Sus scrofa: one gene and its partner. The protein of the gene in region 2 purifies or fractionates together with the protein of the main gene of each other region. This does not show direct contact. Links are inferred from orthologs where the notes say so. Each region holds a gene or a part of one and is shown on either strand. Other genes may lie near its edges.

Evidence for each region. The genes of interacting proteins can lie anywhere in the genome.
Region 1: the proteins of SLC16A11 (region 2) and EMB purify together in Homo sapiens (co-immunoprecipitation; 3 studies listed by BioGRID and IntAct, counting the BioPlex papers as one, with this or other methods). This does not show direct contact. The link is inferred for Sus scrofa from reciprocal best matches to the Homo sapiens genes SLC16A11 and EMB.

Annotation. Positions count from the first base shown.
Region 1 is NC_010458.4:30,128,996-30,132,512, forward strand, and holds part of EMB (embigin), read right to left. Parts: intron 2,569-3,517; coding exon 2,289-2,568; intron 1,481-2,288; coding exon 1,447-1,480; intron 1-1,446. UniProt on the Homo sapiens protein: Plays a role in the outgrowth of motoneurons and in the formation of neuromuscular junctions.
Region 2 is NC_010454.4:52,439,665-52,443,759, reverse strand, and holds the start of SLC16A11 (monocarboxylate transporter 11), read left to right. Parts: upstream 1-1,283; 5' UTR 1,284-1,468; intron 1,469-1,730; 5' UTR 1,731-1,736; coding exon 1,737-1,938; intron 1,939-2,200; coding exon 2,201-2,344; intron 2,345-2,508; coding exon 2,509-3,276; intron 3,277-3,364; coding exon 3,365-3,594; 3' UTR 3,595-4,095. UniProt on the Homo sapiens protein: Proton-linked monocarboxylate transporter. It catalyzes the transport of pyruvate across the plasma membrane.

The sequences.
Region 1 (3,517 bases), on a different chromosome or scaffold from region 2:
GATAAAACATTCAAATCAATATAAATAAGATGTCCACATTCTCCATAAAGAGGTTCAAATCCCCTACAATCATGAGAATCTCTGATTCTAAAACAATACTTTTTTCCTTTCTTGAGTTACGGAACTCTTGATACAATTATTTTATACCCTTAATTTAGAAGCTCATATCCTGTTGGTATATTTTGCCTGCCATGAGTAACTATTTAATGTTTATGAATATCTACATGACAACTGTCTGCCTCCCTCTGGCTCATGAACTGTGGCTATAGCACTCACACCTCAGAGCAAGCCCCTGTTGACTAATGAAGATAAACTTCAAGTGTCATGGGTTGGTAAGAGTTGTTCAGAGCACCTATTTCCCAGGTTTCTTTTGGATACTTTAATATCATCTCATGTTCTGGCCCACAGCCCTTGGTTCTGTTACTTGGACTTTAAGCCCATTTGGGGGCACCTCCTGCAGTGGGCTCTACTTTCAATTCTCTGGCTTGGTAGAACCAACAACTCCCACCTTCACCAAACCAAACGATATCCCTAATAATTTTCTTCCCAGTTTTTTTCATGTTCAGCTCAACTCTAAACAAAGGATACTGTAAGAGAAATAGTGGCACGGTGTATGTTCTTTCAAAAATAATAATAGAATTCTATCTCAGTAATTTTCAATATGATAGAGAATCAGAATCAGTGATAGACACTGAAATACAGATGACCAGGCACCAATTCCAGACATTTTGATCTGAGAGATCTAGTTAGATCTGAGTAACTGTTTTTTTGTTTTTGTTTTTGTTTTAGCTCTTCACGGCTGCACCTGTAGCATATAGAAGTTCCCAGGCTAGGGCTTGAATTGGAGCTGCAGCTGCTAGCCTACACCACAGCCATAGCAACACCAGATCCGAGCCACATCTGCGACCCACACCACAGCTCACGGCAGTGGATCCTTAACCCACTGGGCGAGGCCAGGTATCCAAACCACATTCTCGTGGATACTAGTCAGGTTCATAATCCGTTGAACCACAATGGGAACTCCCTGAGTAACTGTATTTTTAAAGAGCATCCTTAAAATCAAAAATATAGATGGGTTGAGAATCATTACTTTGCTCAAATAATACTTTCTTTTGCTTACTGAGTGCCTTCTGTGCATCCAAGCCTGTGCTAAGCATTTTTACATACAGGAAGTCATTTAATCCAAAAAACTTACGTGGTAAGTAACATTATTAAACCCATTTTTTGAGGAGGAAAGTGAAGCACAGACAAGTGAAAGTAAGTGGTGGAGGGGGATTCTACTGCAAGCAGATGAATGCCAGATGCCACTCTTTACCACAGCATGGACATATACAGAAGATAACACACATACTTTGTACTCTTTTTTCTCTAACTGCAGACATTTAATTTCATATTTAACTGTATTTTACTTAAGTGAAAATTAAACTGTAAAAAAATAATACTTACAGCTGTTCAATTTGTTCAAATTCTTTCCCATCATCTGTGTAACAAAAGAAAAATTGAACCAGTAAGATTGGTTTATTATTCTTAATGGAGCATAAATGTTCAAATCAGCTTTCCCCTGAATTCAACACCCCCAAATGCCTGTGCTGTTTTCCTGCTCTGAAATGAGAGAGACAGAGAGAGGCGTGCTCCTTTAGACGGCTGCGCCTCCAGCATGTCCACCTCCTTCCCTGCTCGCCCGACTGCAAAACTATCTGGAGTTTTGAACAAGCATAGTTTTGTGCCTGGGTTTGCCAAAACAGGATCGACTGATTTGTAATTATTTAGGTTATTAACAATTTAGTATAAAATCAGGGAAAAAAGAATGTAGGATGAATTTTCTTAGGGGATGACTGGTTTCTCAGCCTGTAATCCATCAGGCACAGGCTATGAAAACAAAAAACTGACAGAATATTTGATATTCTGGATATAACTCCAGAATATTTGATAAAACTTTTAAAAAATGAGTTAAAAAATGAGTTAAGTGAAAGAATAATTGTTTTTGAGATCTTTTATATAAACTTCTACAGAATTTCCTAACATTCCAGTACCGAAGTACGTATTACTTAATTGATGTGTTGGTACCAGTAACATCAAAGGGGAAAAAAAGGGTATGTTTTAACACTAAAAATTTTTAAGAAGTTGAAACAGGAAGATCAATATAAACTCGTAGCTCACTGTAACCATTGATATTAACATAAATACCACCACAAATAACAAAAGTTAGATTTTTCCCAAAAACTCTAGAGTCACTGTAATGTATTAAATCATAACATGAGAATGTTATCTAAAAAAAGAAATCCTACCTGATGGCTTCTTTCTCTTTTGGGTATACATTTCACAAAGTAGAATAATAGCCACTAAAAGAACAACCTCAGCAGCTATCGCAAGAAATGCTTTGAGGGGTACCAAATAACTCAGCACGACAAGTTCAATGTGTTCTTCACTCTCGCCTAGTTGGAATATTGCATGGCACCAGTAGGATCCCTGATCTTCCTCTGAAAGTTGCATTATCTTGAGCCTTGTTTCATTAGCGTTTTTTCCATTGATCACATACTTATCGTTTGTTTGAACACCAACAGGAACCTAGTATAAGGAGACATTAAAATCCATTCCTATCATATTACATAAAGATACATGTCCTGAATGATCTAGTTTTGAGTGAAAGCTATAAGATATTGCCAAAAAAAAAATGCTTACTAGAAAAGACATATTAAAATTTGTGAGAAGTTGTACATAACAGAGCTCAAGTCTTATCAGAGTTTAATCTCTGAGGTAGCCAACAAAAGAAAAGTATGCTCTGCTTTAAGTACTTAGCACTGAGTGTTTGAAACTACAGTGGCAAGTCACTGTGCATAAATATTCTCTGGCAATTAGAAATAAAGAAAAATTCCAGCTATTAAGGTTTCACATTCTAATCCCTGAATAGTTGTTCAAAATACTTCCTCCTCCACAAGTGCAGGCATACATTCATTAAATCAACTATTTATTAATGAAGCTATTAAATCTGATAATCCTGTAAAGGAAGATCACTGGCTCCTGGTATTGGGAGTTCCTCAGACTGGAAGTGAGAATGACATCTTCAGGCCTTTTCAAGCCGATGTAAAGGAATGGTAGACATCCCCATGAGCCTGTTTGATGTGGTCTGCAAACCTTCTGTCTCTTCATAGCTGAATTTCTCTCTCAGACAAGTTGGTTTCTGAGATTCCTTGGGTTTTCCTTAGTCTTTTAACATCTGTACTAAGTTATTTTGGCACTAATTTATTTAATCCATTTAAATAATTTTATTTTATTCTCAGGCCATTTGATGTCTTTGTTGCTCTATCACTCAACTGCACTGATCAATAATGCTAATCTGCATTCAAATATTCTTAGAGGTTATCTGATGAAGTTTCTGTGAGTATAGCAAATGGAGACTACATTCTAAAAGTTTAACATAATTAGATTAAATCTATTTTTTGCCTAGTATCACATATGTATAAATTAGGCTATGCATTTCAAAAAATATGGCTGTTTTTATAAGTTTACATGCTTT
Region 2 (4,095 bases):
CAAAACTTGAGGAGAAAAAGTTATGCCTGCTCACAGAGCAGGGTGAGAAGCTAATGGCTGATTGTGGAAGGGTGAGGGGGGGGGGCGCGGGGATGGAAAGATAGCCTGGGTTGCCTTTGTGAACGGCCTTACACTCAAAGTAGAGGATTGTGGGCTTTTCCCTCCTTTAGCCATTGGAGAGCCAGCAAAGGTCATGTTGTCTTGTTAGGCTCATAGTTTTCACTGATCCAGAAGCTGTGTTTCTTTTATTTGCAGGAACTTTTTCAACAATTAGGAAACACTGCCACCATGTGGCTGCCAGGTGATGCATGCTCCAAACTGTAAGCCACAAATTTTCGGATATTAATAATTACACCAAAAAATACATCTCTTGATTCAAATAGCTGGAGTAAATCACTGGTAACCCCAATTCTAATGTAAAAAGAGTACTTTCAAAAAATCTTTTCAAGAAATCCGTCACGGGGTACAATTCTCTGATTTCTTACTTCGTTTTTAAAATTCTAATCTAAATCCTCATTGATTCTTAGGATCCTTTCTATTCCCAGTAACCCCTATCTCAGAATCACAAACTCACGGGCCTGGAAAGGCTCTACCATTCCCAGGTCAGCTTGGCATCAAACTGTCTCCAGGCCATTTCCCTCCGCGGTGGCAGATTCTACTTCAGTCCCCCGTCTGTTCTCCTTGTATGGTTCCTAGTTGGACAGACCCAAACTCAAATATTTCCACCATTTTTTTTTTTTAAGCTGGGTGATTTGGGGCAAGTGACCTAAGCTGCCTAAGCTTCAACTCGTTCATCTGTAAAATGGGGAGAAGCCTTTTCACAGGGTGACTGTAAAGATGAAAGATGGCATGTCCCTAACACATCACAAGGAAGTCCCTTTCTTTCCCCTCCGTCCTTGAGTGCATATATTGTTGAGGCCGCAGCACGCACTCGGTGGAGGTCTGTGATCTGAGGTTTACCTGGGTCTTCAGCACCGTCCCCAGGGAACGAAAATACTGGTCCCTTCATGCTTTGGGAGGATCACCGGTTTCCTTGCGTTGCCTACCGACCTTGGGCTGGCGATTGATCCATGGGTCTCCGGTGAGCGCAGCCGGCGACAGGTGCGTGAGCGTGGGCGGGGCTGGGGAGGCTTTCATTCCTCGCCCCACCCTTCCCCAGGGCTGGGGGGGGGCGGTGTAGGAGGATAATTCAATCCCCGTGGGACTAGGTGTCTGGCCTCACCCGTGGCTCCGCGGATTGGCTGTCTCCGCTCGCCCCCGCCCTCCGTACCCTCCCCAACCCCCCCCCCACGCCCCAGGTGGCCCAGGCCCCCAGTGGCAATCCCTGTTTACCCGGAGAGCCTGTGCAAGTTGGGCTCCATCTCGGCATTCTCTCCCCTCTGGGGCCCCGCCCGCCCGGAAAGCGGGGAGAAAACCGGGCCGAGCCATTCCTCGCCCTTCCCCTCCCCGCACCGCCGGGAGAGGTCGGGTAAGGGGGACCCATGTGTGTGTGGGGGGGGGAGTCTCAGGCCTGGGGGGGGGCGGTCCGGCTGTCACCCTGTACTCGCGCGGACCCGGGAGTTCTATCCCTAGGCCTAGCTCCCTCTCCTCCGCCCCGGTCCTGTTGTGCTCAGGGTGACGTGCCCACCCTGGGCAAACAGCCAGAGGCTGGACCTCAGGGATGCCCAGGTCCCTAGAGGAAGCACAGACGTGGAGGCTTGCCTCACAGGTATCTCCCCTCCTTCCCCCAGGCGGCGATGACCCCCAAGCCAGCCGGACCCCCGGACGGGGGCTGGGGCTGGGTGGTGGCGGCCGCAGCCTTCGTGGTGAATGGGCTCTCCTACGGGCTGTTACGCTCCCTGGGCCTCGCCCTCCCTGACCTCGCGGAGCATTTTGACCGAAGCGCTCAGGACACTGCGTGGGTCAGCGCCCTGGCCTTGGCGGTGCAGCAGGCAGCCAGTGAGGGGGGGGGGGCCCGAGGAGGGAGGCGGGAACTGGGGTGGGCGGGCCATGAGGGCAGTGGTGGGGGGCTCACCTGATGGATTACCAGACAATCTATTGGTGGAACTAAGTTCTAGAAGAAGAGTGGGTCTAGAGGGCAAGAGAAGGGGCTGCTAGACAGCGGGGGGGCGTTTAAGCCATGCAAACAGCCAATGAGAAGTGTTGGAGCGACTTTGGAGGCTCCGGGAGCGTGTCTTCCGTTGACCCCGCCCCCTTCTAGGCCCAGTGGGCAGCGCCCTGAGCACCCGCTGGGGGGCGCGCCCGGTTGTGATGGTTGGAGGCGTCCTCACCTCGCTCGGCTTCGTTTTCTCGGCTTTCGCCCGCAGTCTGCTGCACCTCTATCTTGGCCTGGGCGTCCTTGCTGGTGAGGGGGGAGGGACACCCGGGTTCTTAAGGGGTGATGGTGCAGAGCCCAGCTCGTTGGGGGCCAGAGGCCAAGGGGGCGGGGCCTCCTGCAACCAGCGGGGCCGGGACGGCGGGGGCGGGCGCTCCCGCTTCCTGCCCTCACCTGGTCCTATCCATTCGCAGGCGCCGGCTGGGCCCTGGTGTTCGCCCCTGCCCTTGGGACCCTCTCACGTTACTTCTCCCGCCGTCGAGTCTTGGCCGTGGGGCTGGCCCTCACGGGCAACGGGGCCTCCTCGCTGCTCCTGGCGCCCGCCTTGCAGCTCCTCCTGGATCATTTCGGCTGGCGGGGCGCCCTGCTCCTCCTCGGCGCCGTTACCCTCCACCTCACCCCCTGCGGCGCCCTGCTGCGACCCCTGGAGCTCCCAGGCGACCCCCCGACCCCACCCCGAAGCCCTCTGGCAGCCCTCGGCCTAGATCTCTTCACACGCCGGGTCTTCTTGGTTTTTGCTCTAGGCACGGCCTTGGTGGCGGGCGGGTACTTCATCCCCTACGTGCACTTGGCCCCTCACGCTTTAGATCGGGGTCTGGGCGGATACGGGGCAGCACTGGTGGTGGCGGTGGCCGCGGTGGGGGACGCGGGCGCCCGGCTGCTCAGCGGGTGGCTGGCGGACCAGGGTTGGGTGCCCCTCCCGCGTCTGCTGGCGATGTTCGGGGCTCTGACCGGGCTGGGGCTGCTGGCGGTGGGACTGGTGCCCGTGGTGGGGAGCGAGGAGGGCTGGGGAGGCCCCCTGTTGGCCGTGGCTGGGGCCTACGGGCTGAGCGCCGGAAGCTACGCCCCGCTGGTGTTCGGTGTGCTCCCGGGGCTGGTGGGCATCGGAGGTGTCGTCCAGGCCACCGGGCTGGTGATGATGCTGATGAGCCTCGGGGGGCTTCTGGGCCCTCCCCTGTCAGGTAAGGGCCTGAGCCAGCAGATCCATTCGCATCCCTCCTCTGCACCTGCGGTCCGAGGCCTCTGACGTCCTTTCCCCCTCCGCTCCAGGCTTCCTAAGGGATGAAACAGGAGACTTCACCGCCTCCTTCCTCGTGTGCGGCTCTTTCATCCTCTCGGGCAGCTTCGTCTACATGGGGCTGCCCAGAGCGCTGCCCTCCTGCCGTCCAGCCTCGCGTCCAGCCACCCCTCCCCCGGAGAGGGGGGAGCTGCTCCCCGCCCCTCAGGTGGCCCTGCTCTCCCCAGGAGGCCCTCGCTCCACGCTGGACACCACTTGTTGACCATTTTCTTGTTGGAGCCCCTCCCCCAATAAAGACTTTATGATTTTTCCTGCAAACTCCAATTGTTAGGCAATCTAGGATGCTGGAAACGCTCGACTTAAGATATCCATAAACACTGGTTCAGAGGAAGAGGATCCCGCTAAGCCCCAGAAGGCAGGAAGGGTGTTTGTTCAGGCAGTCCATTTCTCTTTGCCCATTACAGCAGGAAATCTTTGAGAAATCGTTTGCTTCCTCGCAGCTTCAGCTGGTTGGGGGGGGTGAGAGGGGGTGGTGTGCTCCCGGGTGCTAGCTGCCCCATTCTCATTTCCCAGATAACTTTTTCCTGCATGTCAACCTCCTTCCACTGGCCTGAGGGAAATATAAGAATCCCAGACCTGTGGAGTTCCCTCGCAGCACAGTGGGTTAAGGATCCAGTGTTGCCACTGCCGAGGCTCTGGTCACTGCTGTGGCACGGGTTCTATCCCTGCCCAGGAACTTCCACATGTCACAGGAGCAGAAAAA